Linked DNA regions of Drosophila melanogaster. The protein of the gene in region 3 interacts with the protein of the main gene of each other region in a pairwise test. Each region holds a gene or a part of one and is shown on either strand. Other genes may lie near its edges.

Region 1 (7,212 bases), on a different chromosome or scaffold from region 3:
ATTTAGAAGCGGAAACGCTTGGCAGGCACATTGTACTGGTAGCCCGACTCCACGGGAGCTGGGGCAGAGTAAACTGGAGCTGGAGCAGGAGCAGAGTAAACTGGAGCGGGAGCAGGAGCCGAGTAAACTGGAGCTGGAGCTGGAGCAGGAGCAGAGTAAACTGGAGCGGGCGCAGGAGCGGGAAGGTCCTGGACGGGAGGTAAATACTCGGGAGCTGGCGCAGGAGCAGAGTAAACTGGAGCTGGGGCAGGAGCAGAGTATACCGGAGCTGGCGCAGGAGCAGAATACACTGGGGCGGGAGCAGGGATGTCTTGAACAGGAGGCAGATACTCCGAAACGGGTGCTGGTGCGGGAGCAGAGTAGACTGGAGCTGGGGCTGGAGCGGAGTAAACAGGAGCAGGTGCAGGAGCGGAGTAAACGGGAGCTGGAGCCGGAGCTGGAATGTCCTGGACGGGAGGCAAGTACTCAGGAGCTGGCGCAGGAGCAGAGTAAACTGGAGCTGGGGCAGGAGCAGAGTAAACTGGAGCTGGAGCAGGAGCAGAATAAACAGGAGCTGGAGCTGGGATGTCTTGAACAGGAGGCAGGTACTCCGAAACAGGTGCTGGTGCCGGAGCGGAGTAGACTGGGGCTGGGGCTGGAGCGGAGTAAACAGGAGCAGGCGCAGGAGCAGAGTACACAGGAGCTGGAGCCGGCGCAGATATCACCTCCTGAACGGGTGGCAGATAAGCTGGAGCTGGAGCCGAGGGGATGTTGAAGGTCGGCGTGGGCTTGTTGTAGCTATAACCACTGCCCAGGTTAAGGTGGGAAACATCGGCGGAGGCCAAGGCGATGGCGCACACAGCGAAGACGAAGAGTTTCTAAAATAAGCGGAAATTTAAGGGTCAAGTGAGCGATCGGGATCCCCGACATCTTGACGGTTGGCCAAGGCGAGCGGTTGAGCAAGGCCAACGGCTTTCTTGATCGAAGTTGTGACCAGTGGACAGTTTACTCACCATTGTTATTGATTTGTTGGTCGGGCTTTTAAAGTTCGTTGGATTTGCTTTGGCAAGCTCTTGTCGCAAGACGCTCAAGCTGAATGATGTCGAACTGCAGATGGGCCCGCACTTTTATACCAAAAGCCATGCTTAACTTGGTCTGGCCCATTATTATTGCTGGATATCCGTCTTCGCGTCTTCGGTGTGGGCCTGGCGCTTCTTCTAGTCGAAGAAAAGGTAGACAGTTAAGAAGAGAGCGGAGCAGTGATCATTAACCCAGAGGCGGCTGTTGGGCGATCAAAACGAAACAAAGATATATTTATTTTATTTTTCCCTTTGATCTTACGTATTAACATTAAGAAACGTTAATTTTCAAGTTTTGAATATGGTTTAGGGAGAATTAAAAAAAAAAAAACTATAATATTCGCCTTGTTTAATACATGATTAAGTCGTTAATTAATTAAACTACATTAAATTCTACTTAAAGGTTATTTGCTTAGGGTATTTTAGTTTCTTAAAGCAAAAGTTGAGATCTGTTATTTTTTTTTAAATTATTTGGACCAAGCATTCATATGGGAGCACACTTTTTATAATTAACTGACAGCTCTAACAAAGAAACCACACCCAGATGCATAGAAAAACAAGGGGAGTTTTCGATATATTGGAAAACTGTTCATGCTAATACAGTAAAATGTATTATCACAAGAAACCCAACCCGAGCAGACCAACTGCCCGGGCAGTCTTCGATGCAATTTTTTAGTGCCCAGCGCGGGGTTAAGACCGTGACAGTTCGCCGGCAGCCGCTCGTTGATATCGGGGGATTTGGACGGGTTTGGCAATGTCAATAGGGCAGCTTGGCCGCGAGACTCCGCCGACGAGCGGCCACGGGACACGCCAACACTCATTTGCATGCGAGGCAGCTGGCCACGAAGCGATTAAAGGGCCTCTGCCGGCTAATGTCAAAGGTCAACTGATATGCGTTCGCCGGTGCAGTTAGCGGAAATCAGTTTGTTTAACTATTAGCCGGTGCTAATGACCAAACTACATGCTCGACCAAGCGCTCAAGGATTACCAGCTTGGCGTTAGCCTCAGAAAACTTGTAAATACGGACACACACCTATATACGTATATACACACATATGTGGGGTTATTATTTTGAATATTAAATGGGACTTACCCCACTTATGGGTCGAGTGGAAACCACCCAAGCTGAAGCTGAATCTGATTGGGCATTATAAGGGCATTTTTGCCCAATCGTGAGACAACATTTTTCGGGACTGTGACACCTCACTGTTTTGTAAACAGCCTCTAAAGCGTTTAATAGCTATTGTCCCCTATAGTTACGAAAATATGATTCCTACATTTTGATTGATAACTGGGCTCAGAAAAGTACCCATATACTTAAACGTAACTAACTTTTAGAAATACGTACACAAAGACAACGTTCCAAAAATATTTAAACATTTTGAAACATTTTTCGCTTGCGATCGACCCTCACCCGGCGCTCTGCTTATTGATATATTACTAATCGCAGACTCGCATATGGTTTAATTTCCAATGCAAAAATGCTGCATTTGAAAGCATCTGTCACTTAAGCGAAACCTATTCATGAGGCATCGCGAATTTGCTTAGCCTACTTTAAACCACCAGTGTCATATTTTTTTGTTACAGAAAAAGAAGGAGCCGCAAATGGTAAATAAAACAGGCGTAATCCGTTTTAATAATTCCAATTTTAAAAAATTCACACAGCAACCACGATTCGAAATGAGAAACGTGGCTTGGCTTGTCTTGCACAAAAATGTATTTTCGTCGATATTTTCTGCCCGCGGTCTCACTTAATTAACCAATTAGCTAACCACATCCAAAGACATTTAAATGGAGAATACCCATATTATGCACGGCAAACATATGCCAATGTGGATCGTAGTCGATCCGAGTCAAGAATGTTTTCTTCATCTAAAAATGCGTGAAAATACAATATAACATATGGATTGAAGACTTAGCATTAGCATATATGCGCAATTTATCAATTTAAATATTACGCAATAAATAATGTAAATGCAGTGGCCGACCAAAGCTCAATATCTCTGACACTAATAAGTTGTATCTACCGAAAACTAAAGCTAAGCTTAAATGAGAGCTTTGGGGTCGTCTATTAATGTCTTTATAGGCGGCTATACACGACCAATTCCATTGTATGTCACTTGAACTTGCTTCAATATCTGATTGCCTCTGATTTCGCAACCACTCCGTAGTATACATATGTATGTACATTTATCTAGAATTCAGTAATAAAGGAGTGTTTCACAGTTTAGACTACAGACAAGTCAGTGCTATTGGGATGGACAACACCATTTAGATCAGAGCTTGTCCACCAGATACCCATCACACATACCCATTCATAGCAGTGTCAGCTTGATGGACATGGTTAGTGAAACACGAGTACTAATATGTTCTAAGGAACTCATTGCAAATCCAGTAATATTTATTAGGATGGAATTTATAAAATAACATTACAAACTAATTTAAGTTGTTTCGTTCAAAATATACACACATGTCTGACGATATATAAGAAATCGTTTATTATACCTGTTACAATTCATCCGATAAAATGTCTAACAGATATAAAATATATTCTTATTAAGCCGAGTCGATGCTCAACCTTTCTAGCTTTTATAGTTCCTGATATCTCGACGTTCATATGGACAGACGGACATGACCAGTTCGACTCCGCTATTTATCCTGATCAAGAATATATACTTAATATGGCCGGAAACGCTTCCTTCTGCCTATTACATACTTTTCAACGAATCTAGTAAACCCTATTACTCTACGAGTAACGGGTATAAAAACAATTAGCTTATGTATTAATAAGCGTGTTTCGTTTAGGATAAAACGATACGATATTACCAAACGTGGTGATTTAAATTTCCCGTGTGGAAAATCTAATCTGAGACAAAATATTCCAATTCTCTTATTTATGTGTGTTTATATTGTTTAATTTGTATTATGAGTAACAATATTTACATAATTAATACAACTGTTATTTAATTATAGAACAAATTGAAAACACTTCTTGAAGAATGTGGGTAATTAGTTATTTCCTAGAGGTCATCTAAAACTGTTATTATAAATTATCGACTACTTTGAAACAATTTGAACTAAGTATTATCATAGACTTAAACCACTAACAAAAGTTGATCGCTTTTATCAGTCTGGAATTAAATTATTTTACAAGTGGGCTCCATAATAGCAATCTACTATCGATAAAGTGCGAACGAATTCGAACTATTCTTTCCCGGTTAACGAATACAAAAAACTCGAATAGCGTCGGCGTATTTTCTCTGGATGAAAATTTTTTGTGAAACTTCCTATTTGATCTGACTTCGGACTATCAGGAAAAAGTAAAAAGGTTTATTGGTAAATGAGCGACAATTTAAAAAATAATGAAAATATAAAAGACCATTACGTCGTAAGACCACCGTTCCAAATTCACTAGTAACCCACCGTCGCTGCCTTGACGTATTTTGTCCCGCTATCAGATCTGTGTTCGTAAAGTGGCAGTGTGCAGCAACAGCTCGCAGAAAGGTGGCAACGCTCGCTAACAGACCGAGAGCTCCACTAACAAAACAAACATTTTGCTACTTCGTCGCAGGCGGGACTGTGTTGCGTCGTGTGATCGCTAGAGCGGTTGTGGAATCGGATTCGAGCGCAAAACACCGTTCATGCTGTGAGCGAAAAAGAGTGGTAGCGCCTACAGTGGCATATGTAGTTAAATCCGTGAATAAGTGAATAAGAATATATGTATGTACTTAATTCGAAAACCTTTTCGCCGTCAGCACAACGGGTGAACGAGAGAGCGGAAGTGGAGTTTTTTGTGGCGGGTCGTCTCGCTCGCACCGCAAAGGTCGTCCGTGGCTGCGTGTATGGGTGTGTGGAAGAGGCGTCGAGGTGAATGTGGATTTCTAACCACACCAGCATTGCAAAGACATTGATTGATATTTAAAGCTGCAGCAGCGAACCAAAGCAAATCCTAATTTCGGCAAAGTTTAAGAATAACGAGTGACTGGGGCGCGCGCAATAAGATAAAATTGAAGGTTATTCTGTGTGCGTGTGAGTGACCCGTTTACCAGTGTGTGTGTGCGAGCGTTCCATTGTAAACAAAAAAGCAAGTGTTGTGAGCGGAGAGAAGAAAGGGAAAGAGAGAAAGAGCGAACAGACTGGCGAGAGAAAAAAGAGATTGCGCACGAAGAAAGCAGCGCACAAAGCGAACGCTGAAAATGTCAATAAACTCTGCGAAAGGTGAGGAAAACGCAACAAGAGCGCCGCAGTCGTGTAAAATAAAACCCAAGACTCAAAGAAAGCAGTAGAAAGAGGCAAGTGCAAGAGCAGAACTTGTGCGTGTGAGTGCTGGTGTAGTGTGTGTGGGAGAGAAGAGTTCGAGTGTTTGTTCTGATTGGACAGAGTGTGCAGAAAAGTTTTTCTGGTTTCGATTCGCTTGCAACAGTTTCCGCGTTTTCAGCTCCAACAAGTTTCGTCGATTTTTCGCGTCTGCATTTTGTTTATTTTATTGTGAATTCGTTGACTTGCTTGCTCGCTCGTTAACCCATACAAGTGCGCCCGCCGCGACGCTGGATGAGTAATTTACCGTTATTAATTCACAGGTGAAAAATCCGATATTTGTCGTGCAATAATTTCCTCGATTGGCATCAAGTGGCTTCCAGTCGGGTACATATTGCACAAGAAATGTTATACGCATAATGTGCACGCAAATTAAACGAATTCTCTATGAAAATGTGACTAGAATGTGAGTCGAACAAAACGAGTAAAACGTGAAATCCCAACTGGCTTTTGGGTAACAAATCTTATCAACACAGCAACGGAAATACATTAAAATCTTGATAGACTGAGAAAGGGACAATTGGAATACTTTTAGTTATTTTTAAATGGTAAGATAATCTCCTTTCCTTAAAAACAAAATGTTCCCATAATTTTTTAGGTATTTTAAAATGGTAAGATGATCTCATTTCCTTAAAAACAAAATGTTCCCATAATTGATGTCCATGATGTCCATCCCATAACTTGATGTGATTTCAAAAGGAACATCGTGAAAACTGGGCGAATCGTATAAACCATATGCTTTCATTTCATTTGTATTTAAGGACAACAATATAGGGGCTGTAAAAATTACCATTTTTTAAGTGATTTAATATTCCTTTGTCCTTTAAATTTAAAGATCCAAGAGGCCCAATTCAAGCGCTATATTTTCTTATCCCCTTCCACAGAGTCAAAGTAGGCTTTTCGAATCCCTGAAATCAAAACAAAATTATTAACACATCGGGAAGTCAGTGTCGTCTGGCGGACTGTCTGGCCGGGCGACTCCCAATTCATAAGCAGTGAAATGTAACGGCGCCGTTGAGTACTTGAACTACTTTCATGTGGCAGAGGCTTTATGACCCGAACTTGGCTGGCTCATTACATTGACATTCAACTCTACCGAGCTCTGAAAGCGCAAAAAGGACGCCATAAAGGCTTTAATTAAACATGTGTTATGTTCGGTTCTAGAAAACTTAAAGCTTTCCGAATTGACTCTGTATAGATTCGCTTGTCTTTATTGTTCGATCATCGTTACACGTTATATTTTTCTCGGTGCAGCCGCCGGAAATTGTTTCGACAACGAAACAGAGACGGTCTCGATCAGGGAGAATAAGAGGGTGGGAAGGCACTGCATGTCTGAATAGTACGGCCAAGGCACGTTTTGAACTCTACCTCTACCACACATTTCTTGGGCCAAGTCTTTAGCTCTTTCTGCTTTCGCGTGGTGCTTGACCCAGAAAAATCGAAGAATCGCCAATTCTGCGGCTGACAACGCTGCTGATGAGGCTGCGGCTGGGCCAAGTCTTGTGCTTTCGAGGAGCCGCAGAAGGGGCTGTCTCATAAACCATTTTAAATGTCGGGCTCATTATTATTTTGACTGCGTCGCTTGCGGTTTTTGTGTCTATCAGCCGTTCTTACCGTGCCTTCTTACCGTTCAACTCTTCTCATTTCGTAAGCTGGGATTCAGTCTGTCCGAAGGTTGACCGCGAGTTTGGAAGTTGATTGGCTCCGGATTATACATTGCGGACGCTGGTTTATGTTCTTGAACTCCTTTTAAATGTGCGCGGCCTCAAAGGTTAATTTACAGCTTTCGGGGTCATAACTCTGGCTAAAGGCGGTCGATTCTGCCGTCGAGACGCGG
Region 2 (6,999 bases), on a different chromosome or scaffold from region 3:
TGTACCTTCGCTTTCTGTCCTGCCTGCACTTTCACTTCTGGCCTGCTTTCTCCGCCAAACCAAACACCCTCCCTCCACCTGAAACGGCGCACGTGCCACGGATGTGTGTGTGACAGGTGGTTATATCGGTGCACCGGAACCTGCCCCCCGGCATCACGTTCCCACTCGGTTACAATGTTACCATGTTGTGTGTATGCAGTTTCGCTATTTGCAGCTCTCGGACTACGGAGGAGCATGTCCAAAAAGCACTTCATTTCAGCAATATCCCCGGGGGATGAGGCGTACCGTGCAACTGGGTGGCCGAATATGCATGGCAAAGGGTAATATACGCAGACAAAAGGTTACGGGGTTCAAAGGTTAAACGTTTCCCACGTATTTACGAGCCCATCACTACAATTCCTGCCCGTTTGCGGTGTTAGTTTGGTAGGCCTCTGCCCAAAGATGTTACGTGGCACTGAAACCTCCTCTTTACTTCAAGTGACAGAGATCCCCCTTGGAGTAAGAGGTATTTGCTACGTCCGAAGGAGGGCAGAACTTCCTCATCACCGTGCACATGGCCACTTACCCTTGCACTTTTTGATGAACCGGCACGTGGCACGTGATGCTACCGGTCGATCCTTGGGTCACGGTCACCGATGCCGCTTGGGATGCCGATACCGATGCGCACGGTACACGGATGCGGAAGCTGAGACGGGCACTTGTACCACGGAACACAGTAACCAAAGCCGTTGGATATCGAACCTAGGCGAGTAATTAATTGACAATCGCTTGGCCGTGGACTCCAGCGACCCGTAATTGGCGGAAGGCCGGCCATCCGCCATCCGCTATCCGCTATCCACTTTCCGTCGTCCGTTTGCCGTGCTCCGTACTGCCGAGCCGAGCCGAATCGGATGGGATTGAGTTCAAACCGCCGTTTTGGCCAGCCTGCCGCCCGAAAACAGTATGGCCACGTATTTTGAATGCAGCGCCGATGCCTGCGAGCTTTTCAGCTTTTGAGGGAAGCTTTCGTGGAGGCAGCTCCGTTGGAGGCCACCCCCTCCTCCGCTTTGTACGGCTCAAGTCACGTTGCACGTACCCCTTGGGCGCTTGAATAGCATCTCGTTCCACAACAGTCCCTAGTGCCCACTCCACTGCGTCCACCTGTTGCCGGTGGCCATAAGCCACTTGTTGTCGTCTGCCGCTTGCCTAGCTCCTTCTGAGGAGAGCCAATTAGGAGGACCCGCATTCCCCACTCGATATAATCCGATCGCACGTCCTCCCGATTAAAAGGCCGCAAAACCATTTACCGTAGTTAACCAAATCTATAAAATGCATATGTTTCGATTTGAAGATGACATAAGCGACATATAACCTTGCAAACTATTATTATTAGCAGCTAGGTAAGTGGAGCATGCAATGGGTTATTATACTTGTTTACGTATACAAATTGTTATGATAAATGGAATGTGAAATGGGGGGGGGGGGGGTGGGCTTTGAGTGCAGCTGCGCTATGTTTTCATAACGCGATAAGCGGTCAGGATTACACTCCTCCCCTAGCCCCATCCTCCTCCTCCACCTCTTGCAGTTGGTCCTGCTCCTCCGGCTGGGTATCAACGGTATCGTTGGTGTCCGCATTCAGGTCCACCCAGTTGTCATCGCTGATTTCGTCAATGGTATCCGTGTCATCCACTACGGCCGCCACGCTCACGTCATCCGTGGAGCCGGAATTAGTGGTGCCAGTGGTTGTGGTGGCCGTGACGGCGGACGAGGGTCTCAGTATCTCCTCCTGAGTGGCCGGAGTCGGGGTCGTCGACGTGGTGTACGATGCGGAGGAGGGTGTCTCCGAACGGTAGCCCATTCCCGTAATGTACGACCCGGACCCAGAACCCGAGCCCGATCCAGACCCTGATCCGGATCCCGATGCGGTTTCCGTGGCCGTTTCCGTGTTGGAACTGCAACTTGCCGTTGTTCCCGAAGTGGAGGCGTCGTCTCCGGGGAGGGCGTCCTGAGAAAGCCTAGGTCGCGGGGCGCCCTTTAACTTGTTCTTTTGGCGGGCAACCTCATAGTCCTTGAGATCGGACAGCTTGAGTGTGATTTTCTGCAGATCGCGCTTCAGCATCTCGAAGTCGAATTCCTGATTTTTGCTGATGATCCGAAAGACTGGTGGTCACGCGCCGATCGCAATTAGAACAGTGACTTTTGTATAACAGTCACTGGGCCAATAGCGGCTTTATACCTTCACTGGCCCCCATAGAGTGACCGAAAATCACTTTTACTGTCATACATATGCAATGTAATCGATTCTTTATTGTTGAGTAGGATTTAACTTTGTTTACATATGTACATATATCATATTTGTACTACATCCAACCCAAATTCAAAGACATGCGAGTAATGTATTCGCTATTTGCAGTACATTTATATTGCGGTGAATGATGGGGGAAAACCAGTACATATACATATACGAATGATGGTGCAGTGATGAGCATGGAGCGATCGAGAAAAAAAAAACAGTATGCATTACGATCTTGGGGATAGGTAGTGGTCCTAGTAGAAGCCGTAGTGGCCATGGTGGTACGGATAGTAGCCGTGGTGTCCGCCGTAGTAGGGCGCCGCATGGACGTATCCGTAGCCGCCGTAGTAGGGACTGCTCAGTCCACCGTAGCCGCCGTAGTGACCGTGTCCATAGGCACCGTATCCGCCGTATCCGCCGTAGCCGCCATAGCCGTGGCCGAACCCGTAGATGCCTCTCTTCTCCGTCTTCTTCTCATCCACGGCGGATGGCTCCGGCTCCAGAGCTTCAGGAGCAGGCTCCGAAACTGCTGCCCAGGTGCTCATGAAGCAAATGGCCAGGATGACGAACACGCACTGCACAGAGAAAAAAAGGTTCGGTATATGAAACATTTGAAACGATGTTAACAAATGATTTGTTTCAAATTGTAGCCAGAGCACTTCCAGCAATTTTAAATAACTTGTATTTTGTTGGATAAACTGTCACTCAAAAAAAAGTCCACTCGTTTGCTTGACCGGTGTCCTGGTATCCTGGTATCCTAATGTCCTGGTGTTGCTGCTTACCAAGAACTTCATGTTGCTGCTGCAGATGTTGCTAGTGGCTGTTGGCTGGTTGACTTGATGGGTAGGGCGCCAGGCGAGGTTTGTTGATGGCTGCCAGTGGCCCGACGCTTTTATAGTCACCCGGCTTGGCTTATTGTTGCCAGTTGCTGCTACAGTTGCAATTATGCAAACTGACAATAACGGCGGCAGCAGCAGCAGCAGCAGCGATTGTTGCAGCTGAATTGAATGCATGACGGGTTGAGGACTTGAAACCGAATATTGTTTATGCTGCGGAGCCAAAAGGTCATCCATCCGCTCATCCGGCGGAGGAGAACTTGGCGGAGGATTGCAGTGGGGGGAGTGAGGTGGAGTGGGCGTGGAAACTAACGATATCGGTTATAATTGCCAGCGTAGTCGAAATTCTAAGATCCCAGGCTCGTTGGGTAACCGAAGTGGGGCAGCAACGCGATCCACAAGCAACGTGCAACACGAGACACTCGACGCGTTCCACAATCACCAAGTGCCCCTCTCGTACACGGTATGCATATCGTGTAACACTTTCACTGCCAGATCGGATGGCCAGCAGCGCCCAAAAGGCGCACTATTACCTAAGCTCGTTCAGAAGCTGGCCAAATGCTGGGATGCCACTGGCCCCGTGGGAATCGCATATGCGCGCCAGCATTATACACAAATTACAAACAATTGCACGTTTGGCAGCGTTTTGGCATTTTAATTAAGCTGCCAGACAGCTGAGATCTCTGCCAGATCATTTCCAATGCAAAGTCTTATCGACAGAATATCCAAAGTGCACGACTTTGACGGAGACCTCTGGCTTAAGGGGTATATTGGGACAAGGATCGGTGACCAGGTCAATGGTCATTAGTTTTAATGGGCTTGAAACTAGGTTGAAGAGATCTTCTATTCAGAGGAGCACAGCTTTTGCTTAATATACTAAAGTTTTAAAACAATTTGATAGCCATTTGGGCAGACGACTCTGTTCTGCGCGTTCCATTATTCTCGATCACTTCCGTCTGCCGGGGGTACTTGCTACCCAGTACCCAGTGCCGTGCCCACACAATAAAGGACGACCTTGACCGCAGTGGCAATTGCAAATCGCAATTGCAGTCTGCTGCGGCTGTTGCTTTTGCTGCTCCGAGTTCCCAAGTCATGAATGAAGCAACGCCGGAGGCAACATTGTTGAATGAAGCATGCAAAAGATTTTCCCAATCGACGACGTCTCGCCATCTCTGGCCAAAAGTGGGTGGCACCGCCATTGTCTCCTTCTCCCCGCGGTTGTTTTCGTATCCACATCGTTTAATATTTATGCTCTGCCCATTGGAGGTGAATGCACGCGAGACGCGTTGGGCAAGCGGAAGACCAAGCAGCCAAGGGGTTTGGTCTATGGACTGGGACCTGGTCACGATCCGGAGATGACAACATATTTGATTGCCAGCTAAATTATAATTCTTGACTAAGTCTAGTCCGCCGAACGGGTCGATGTCCATGTCGCTGTCGATTGATTGATTTCCCATTGTAGCCGACCAGTTTGATTTACGGCCCAGACGGCTAATTGCGCATTGTTGGCTTGGTTCCAGGGTTAGATCTTGAATCTGGAATCTTACAATCCCACCGGGCCTGCCGACGGTCCTCCACTTTGGCCAGCTGTCCGAGGTTACACAACAACAACCGGCGTTGGCCGTTTTCAGCTGAAAATGCTTACATTTCCTTACAGTTTATTGCGCTTAACAGACATTTAACAATTAAAGGGGCGGAGGAGGGCGCGCCTAGTACTTCAGTTCCTTGGCCTTGTCGTGGGCTCCCTCGTCCAGGAGCTTCAGCTCCGCCTGCTGCTTCTCCGGTCGGATGACCGTGCAGTAGTGGTAGTAGCGCATTCCCAGGATGTAGGTGCCGTACAGGGTGACTCCAATGCAGGCATACACCGCGCCGCGGTGCAGCTTGTCCAGCAGCGTGTTGGTGTTAATCGGCTTCTTCTGCATGGCGGCAAATCCCTTCCAAGTCCATAAAAGTTTCCGGCAGTCGAGTCCGTCGCCTCAGCTGGTCTGTCAGTGATGACGGCGGCGAATGTATCGATAATTGGGCGTACATTTACTAGCCAAAATAAAGATGAAGACAGTCGAATGAGTACTATATTTTTAAGTGAATTTTAGGAAATCGTTCCAAATGTCCCATTTAGCTTTGAGTCTCACTCGTTTAACGTCGTTTTATCGTTAATCTCACTTTTAGCTACTCTAGCTGGAAAAGGCTTAACTTAAATCGCCGATTAATAATATCGCTGATCTCTGGCCAATCGATATACACCTATACGCACGTGTTTACAAATTTGTGTACTTCGTGGGAATATTTCATCGTATTCTACAACGCCATTGTGAAATAGCTGGACCGAATAGACCTCCGGAGGATTCATGGATCACGAATACGTTGGGGTTAGCCCGCTGGGCGCAGCGGACGGCAAGGGCGCCGGATCGAACGCCGTCATCCTGTGCTGCGAGTGCGGAGTGGCCATCCAGCCGAATCCGGCCAACATGTGCGTCACCTGCCTGCGCAACCATGTCGACATCACGGAGAACATCCCAAAGCAGGCCGTGCTCCACTTCTGTCGTAATTGCGAGCGCTATCTGCAACCGCCGAACGAGTGGATACAGGCCGCCTTGGAGTCCCGCGAACTCTTGGCCATTTGCCTTAAGAAGCTAAAAGGCCTGAAGGAAGTGAAGTTGGTGGATGCCGGCTTCATCTGGACAGAACAGCACTCCAAGCGCATAAAGGTGAAGCTGACTGTGCATGGGGAGATCATCGGGGGAACGATGCTCCAGCAGGTATTCGTGGTGGAGTTCACTGTGCAGAACCAGATGTGCAACGACTGCCATCGGACCGAGGCCAAGGACTTCTGGCGCTGCCTCGTGCAGGTTCGTCAGCGGGCCGAGAACAAGAAAACCTTTTACTATCTGGAACAGCTGATCCTTAAGCACAAAGCCCACGAGAACACTCTGGGCATAAAGCCGGAGCATGGCGGCCTGGATTTCTTCTATGCCAATGATAATCATGCCCGGCGCATGGTTGATTTCCTCCTGACCATGGTGCCCGGCAAGGTAACAACCTCGAAGCGTCTCATCTCTCACGACATCCACAGCAACAACTATAACTACAAGTACAACTGGTCAGTGGAAATAGCACCAGTATCGAAGGACAGTGCAGTTTGCCTGTCCAAAAAGCTGCGCCACCAGCTGGGAAATCTCTCGCCATTGGTTCTGGTCAACCGGGTGTCTAGCAGCATTCACTTGATTGATCCCCTGACCGCACAGATTGCAGAACTCACCTCGCAGGTCTATTTCAGGTGGGACTCCTATTTGACAAAGGTTATCTTCGAGTAAGCCAATTAAATTGCTTTTTTCAGAGCTCCCTTTGAGGCCGTCTGCAATCCCAAGCAGCTGGTTGAGTACGTCGTCATGGACATTGATGTGATCATGGAAAAGGATCGAAAGACCTATCCTGGTCAAGGGCAGGTTTCCTTCAAGCACGCTCTCTGCGACATTTGGGTGGTGCGCGCCTCGGAGCTGGGCATCAACGATAACCCCATTCACACACGCTCCCACTTGGGCCACCTGCTCAAGGTGGGCGATTCCGTAATGGGCTACAACACCGGAGAGGCCAACATCAACGATCTGGAGTTCGACAAATTGTCGTCGGATGAAATTCCGGATGTAATTCTTGTGCGCAAGCACTACGATCGACAGACCAGACTCAGTCAGCGCGTGTGGAAGATTAAGCATCTGGCGGCGGAGGCTACCGATGAGCGCAGCAAGTACGACTACCACGAGTTTCTTGACGATCTCGAGGAAAACGAGGATATCCGCGGTCAGGTCAACATCTATCGGGACACTAACAAGACGATACCAATCGAGGTACAGGCCGCTGGAGGTGATGTGCCCCAGATCACACTGGAGGAGA
Region 3 (6,385 bases):
AGGAGGCGCGAAAGATCAACATTGCCCAGTATCAGCAGATCAGTTACTACGAATGGCTGCCCATCTTCTTGGGTGGCGAGAACATGCTGAAGAACCGGCTGATCTACAAGGCTCCATCCGGAAGCTATATCAACGATTTCGATCCCAACATTGATCCATCGGTGCTGAATGAGCACGCGACGGCCGCTTTCAGATACTTCCATTCCCAGATTGAAGGTCGTTTGGAGTAAGTGCCTATTTACTATTATGAGTTAAGAACATTTTATTAATTTTAAAATTTTTGTGCAGTCTACTGTCCGAGCTGCGTCAAGTTCTCGGCTCTCTGACCCTCAGCGACTGGTTCAATCGTCCCGGTATTATTGAGGTTGGAGATAACTTTGATTCCCTGACCAGAGGACACGCCACGCAGCCCGAAGAGCTAACTGATATCAATTTTGACCGACAGGTGGGTACACAAATAACAAAATGAGACCACCTTTCTAACCTCTCAACCTTTCCTGGCTTAGATCAAGCACTTCCTGTTCAGAAGAAACATGCCCTTCGGTTCCGATCTGCGTTCCCTGGACATTCAGCGTAATCGCGATCACGGTCTGGCTTCCTACAATGACATGCGGGAATTCTGCGGACTGAGACGTGCCCACTCGTGGGAGGGATACGGTGATCTAATAAGTCCACCAATTCTGGAAAAACTTAAGTCGCTATACCCGAGCCACGAAGACGTGGATCTGACTGTGGGCGCCTCCTTGGAGGCGCATGTGGCCGGAGCTTTGGCTGGACCCACCTTCCTGTGTATCCTCACGGAACAATTCTACAGAACCAGAGTGGGCGATCGCTTCTTCTTCGAAAACGGAGACAAGCTCACTGGATTTACTCCTGGTAAAAAGAACATTTCTCCTCTGACTATTTTAAATATTAATTTATTTATGTCTAATTTCGTAGATCAACTGGAGGAGCTGAGGAAGGCCAGTATGGCTCGTTTGCTGTGCGACAATGGCAACCACATTTCATCCATGCAGCCCGAAGCTTTCCGGACTGTTTCCCATTCGTAAGTTTAAATTGATTAAATTGGTTATTTGGAAAGTAACTGAGCTCTGAAATTACAGGAATCCGATTATACCGTGCTCAAATATTCCACAAGTCGACCTCACCAAATGGATTGATCAAAAGCTATATGCCACTGTAGATCCGTCTCACTACGGAAAGAAGTAATCCGCTGCTGTGGGATCTATGCTTAACTAGTTGAATACAAATACATTTAGCTTAATCAATAACATAAACGTAAATGCAAAGCCCCTCCCCCCCCCCCCCCCCTTGTATGATAATGTCCCAAACTGATGTACAGAAATAAAGCCCTTACCATTTAAACAATCAGCTTTACTTTCAGTGACCTGATAATGTTTGTAAGATTTCACGGAAATGAAAAGAAGTCAAGGGCAAATCCCAATGCCATCCAGACCCGACCCCTTCTTATGCAATAGGCCCGGATAAAGAAATGCCGGGTCCGAAAACCTTTACACTTTCGTTGACTTTGGGATAGCTCCGATTCATCGGGGTTAATCATATGGAGACGCGCGACCGAGGTGTGAACAAGTTGATAGAAACGGCCAATTAAGAGACAAAACTCTTTTTTCTGCCATTTTTAAGTCATGGTTCATTCGAATCGTAAAGCGAAACAATCGGCAACAGAGAATGTGTTCTTTTTTGCATATGTCTTCTGTTTTCAAATGGAAGTTAACATATTAATACTTCAGAGGCGGTTCACTTTTGGATTGGACATAAATTTACATATATAAGTTTAGAGAGAACCCAGGATGATAGCATCATCGCGAACAGGTTTGCATATTTTCCGAGAGATTTGGCAAGCAGATTTCTGAATGGACATGATATAACGGTTCTAGTGAATCTAGATTAATGAAAGTGATTTAAACAAAGTGTGCATACAAGATTAAGAGTTCATAATGCGGTATAAAAGTGATCCGTCCGCCGGAGAAAGGCAGCAGATACCATTTCGCCATGAGGCTGTTCGCAGTGATTTTTTGGATAGGTAAGGAATATGATTCAAATAGGATGGATCTGATTTCTAATTGGGATTCATTTCCTTTCCAGGCTGGGCCTTTGGCCTAGCGAATTCCAAGAACCCGAGTGCCGAGACGGGCAGACTGATAGCATCTCTACAAGCTGCTCCGGCTCCGGCGCCAGCACAAAGTGTGATCTACAAGCTGCCACCACAGCACTACTATCCGCCACCACCGCCGCCGCCTCCGCCTCCGCCACAGCACTGCAATTGCCCGCCAGGTCCACCGGGGCCTCCTGGACCGCCGGGCTTACCAGGAACGCCTGGTCCGCAAGGTCCCAAGGGACACACTGGGTCCAAGGGCGAGCGAGGAGAGAAGGGAGAACGCGGTCACTACGGACTACCAGGCCAACCAGGTGAACCGGGACCTATTGGTCCACCGGGACTACCAGGCCCACCCGGTCACAAGTCGGGACATGGTCACCATGATCATCATGATCACCACCATCATCATCCAGCGCCACCGCCACCACCTCCACCTCCGCCTCCGCCGCCTCCACCACCACCACCACCACACTCACACCCGCATTCACATCATCCCCACCCGCCGATCGTGACGCCACCAATTATAGTTCCCATACCATTGCCACCGCAGAAAGGTGAACATGGTCACCATCATCACCACAAGGGATCCAAAGGTCCACCCGGACCTCCAGGCCCACCAGGTAAGAGAAAATCGTTACTCATATATATCACAACGCTCTAACAGTGAAAATATTGAAAGGATATATTATAAGTCATTTTCCAAAATTTTACTGAGTATTTAATCTCTTGCAGGAACGGGACCACCGGGTCCTCCAGGACCTCCAGGCACTACGTATCCACAACCCCCACCACCACCACCACCACCGCCACCTCCACCACCATCGTACCCATACCCACCGTACCCGTATCCACCACCTGGTCCTTATCCGGGACCATGGATTCCTCTGCCAGTGCCAGTGCCCTGGCCCTCAAAGGGACATAAGGGGGATAAAGGTCACAAAGGAGGTCATAAGGGAGACAAGGGCGGACACCACCATCACTATTATCCACCAGGACACGATAAGGGAGGCTACTATCCGTATCCACCCCACGGTGGCCATGGAGGCCATCACCATCCAGGCCACAATTATCCAGGCCCCTATCCGCCACCATATCCACCTCACCATCCACATGATGGCGGAGACAAGGGTTATCACCATTATCCACCCCACAATCACGGAGGGCACAATCACGGGGGACACAACAACCATCATCCACCTCACAATGGAGAGCACAACCATAATCATCCCCCTCACAATCACGGAGGACATGGCCACCATCATCCCTCACACAATCACGGAGGGCAGGACCCACATAATACACACCCCCACACTGGTACACACGGAAATGGAGGACACAGCCAAACTTCACACCACCAGCACCCCCATCATCATCAACCAAAACCCACTAAGCCAGAGGGTAGTGGCGAGCAAACTCCACGGGATGATCTGGACTTGCTAGATGAAAATGTGGAGATTGTCGAAAACATAATTGATGAAAATGATAACGAAAATAATTTCATGGAGGGCGAGGAGGAAATGTCCAATGAGCCCAATGACTTGGAGACGGAACCCGAGGATGCGGACTACGGCCTTGAATATGCAGATAACACAGTGGAGAATCCCGAATCTCCGAGTGGCGCTGAAGAAATCGATGATGAGGATTCAAGCTATATGGTACCAGAAGGAGATGATGCGATGGAAGAGGACCATATGATGGAGGACCAGATGGACCCAGTGAATATGATGGAGGATAACGCACCTATGGATGGAGATGCAATTGAGGAGCGAACCAACAAAGGTCCGATTATCCTGTCAATTGGAACTCCTCGAAATCCCTTTCACATTTACGCCTATGAACAGTATAATATATAAATAAGCCAACACCACGAGAAAATAAAAAAATAACATTAAAATATGAGTCTTTTATGGGTTTTCTAACAATTTAAAAATACTACTTTTTGGGTTTCATTTAGAGATTTTGATACAGTTAATAAAATTTAAATGTTTAATAATAAACAAAAGCAGTGAACCTCTGTAGATTTCCGTATTAATAAGATCATCTCGCAGAATTCGTATAGCAAAAAATTTAAATGTATAAACAATAAACTGCGTTATTGTTAGCTGTCAAAATAGTTCCGTTGTTCTTGGAAATGTCTGCGGCTTTGTTAGATTTTCTATAAAATAACAATGGACAAAGATATGAAAAAAGTGAAATCATATTGAAATAAGCTATTAATTCAATGACAATCGAATGAAATTGCCAACTCAAATCATTTATCAAAATACAATGGTAAATTGTTGAATCTTATCAGCTAGGCAAGTAAAATTGTTTGTAATATATGTATTTAACTTTTGGCAGATATGAAATTAATAAGTTCAAATGTTTTCAGGTATTAGGTTGATTAAATTCATTAATAAATTTCTTTGTCCATAAATTAGTTTTGTACGACTTTTTAAAGCATGCGTGCGTCACGTTGATCCAATGCCTTAAAGTCTTGAAGAATTTTGAACGTCATATTAAATTTCACTATTTAAAAGCAATTTGTATGATAACGATAATGAAGAAGATAAGTCAGATCGTCCCATTTTTGCGGTATTCTTATTTTATTGCCCCGTAAATAAAACAATGGGGGCTGAAATGGAACAATCAATGCCGACATGGAACCAAATAAATAACTAAAGAAAGTTAATAAAACTTGTGCCATAATATACATTTTAATTCTTAAATAATAACCAAACATTTAAGCCCTAATTGTGGTAATCAATTTAATAATAGTATTAGCACATCGACAAAATGGAATAAATCATTTTTCTTGAGCCTCATCGAATTCCATGCGTGTGTATCTGGACCAATCTTCGGTTAAATTTATGCGAAATCATTAGGCTGATGAGATCTGAGATTTGCGATTTACATTTTACGTGTTTCGCATTAACCCATTAAAGTCTAGACCAACTGTTCTTAAGGTCTATATAAGAGATGATCTAAGACGAGCAGGTGTTCATTCACGAATGAGACGTCTTGAAATGAAGCTGCTCACGGTTCTGCTGTTCATAGGTAAGCCGAGTTAAGAAGATAGAACCTTAGAACATTACTTTACCTGATTCTTGCATTTTAGCCATCTCAGCATTTTGCGAGGGATCATGGCTGCTTTCCCCAGTCAAGCCGGTTGAAGTAGAATCGCGGCCAAAGACAAAGAAACCAGCTCATAATAACAACAATCTGTACTATTACAGTCCTGAAGCGATAGATTCTTCCTTTTACTACGGCTTTCAACCCAATTGCCAATGTCGCCCAGGCCCGCCAGGACCTCCTGGGCCACCAGGAATTCCTGGTCTGCCAGGTGTAGAAGGAGCGCCAGGAGAAAAGGGGGATCGTGGTGACCGTGGAGAAAGTGGTCAAAGGGGTAGGCCGGGTAAAACTGGATTTCCGGGACCAATTGGTCCACCAGGACTACCTGGACCACCAGGCCGCCCTGGCAAATCTTCATCGCATGAACAGAAACAAGGTACAACCATTATTTACTTGCCAGCAATTCCAGCGGACAAGCCGCCAAAAATGGAAAACCCACAGGCAGCAATGAAAACCCACCACCCGATAATAGAAACGACATTAAAAAGACAAACAAGCCTCGGGCACCGCAGCTTTTGAGGGCAAATTCCGATGAAATTAAATATCTCAATGTTAGTCCGCAACTGGCCCAAAACCACAAAAACCGAAATCGCAAAAGTCAAATTACTTTCGCCCATTTCGATCGTCAGAAAATCAACCAGAGTAACAAGATAACAACTTTGACTAAGAACTTACAAACAGTGACCAATTCCCAAAAACACAAAACAAACGCTCCAATGCGCCGAAAGCAGACTCCTAATCGAAAGGTAATTAAAAATACAACTACTGATTTAAGCAGTTCAGATCGTCAGTCAGTTAACAAAATGAAGGGCAACAATCTTGGCGAGAAAAACATATTGACTGATGCAAATAACAGCATGAATTTGAATATCAGCCACGTCGGATCCCAACAAACGAAAAACGTAACTAAAACTGGTGTAAAAAGTAGTCAAATTGATGATATACCAATACCAGCCGATGTATCTGCAATAAATTCTTTAAACAAAGAAGTAAATTCACAGATATCTAATACTACATTGCAAAGTATCATTCTGGAAGAGACGACTCTACCGAATAATATTAAAATAACAGATGAAAAGCTAGATCTTAACAAATTAATAACGATTACCGAAGAGGCGCCCGATGCGATTCATACAACAACAGTTCAAAATGAGA

What was found.
Region 1: the proteins of CG5225 (region 3) and CG31626 interact in a two-hybrid assay, tested with the Drosophila melanogaster proteins (one large-scale study listed by BioGRID).
Region 2: the proteins of CG5225 (region 3) and CG17777 interact in a two-hybrid assay, tested with the Drosophila melanogaster proteins (one large-scale study listed by BioGRID).

What each region holds. Positions count from the first base shown.
Region 1 is NT_033779.5:21,232,643-21,239,854, forward strand, and holds the start of CG31626 (uncharacterized protein), read right to left. Parts: upstream 4,092-7,212; 5' UTR 4,002-4,091; intron 1,394-4,001; exon of another isoform or gene 1,261-1,393; 5' UTR 996-1,260; coding exon 993-995; exon of another isoform or gene 858-992; coding exon 3-857; 3' UTR 1-2.
Region 2 is NC_004354.4:2,182,996-2,189,994, reverse strand, and holds CG17777 (uncharacterized protein), read right to left. Parts: upstream 3,141-6,999; 5' UTR 3,067-3,140; coding exon 3,055-3,066; intron 2,848-3,054; coding exon 2,527-2,847; 3' UTR 2,254-2,526; downstream 1-2,253. Other genes in the region: CG3457 (uncharacterized protein), read right to left, coding at 1,520-2,098; CG17776 (uncharacterized protein), read right to left, coding at 4,818-5,030; Nmd3 (Nonsense-mediated mRNA 3), read left to right, coding at 5,457-6,385, 6,446-6,999.
Region 3 is NT_033777.3:17,026,693-17,033,077, forward strand, and holds CG5225 (uncharacterized protein), read left to right. Parts: upstream 1-2,000; 5' UTR 2,001-2,013; coding exon 2,014-2,044; intron 2,045-2,106; coding exon 2,107-2,739; intron 2,740-2,851; coding exon 2,852-3,972; 3' UTR 3,973-4,009; downstream 4,010-6,385. Other genes in the region: Pxd (peroxidase), read left to right, coding at 1-226, 289-445, 507-876, 940-1,045, 1,104-1,209; CG31268 (uncharacterized protein), read left to right, coding at 5,125-5,155, 5,217-5,606, 5,672-6,385.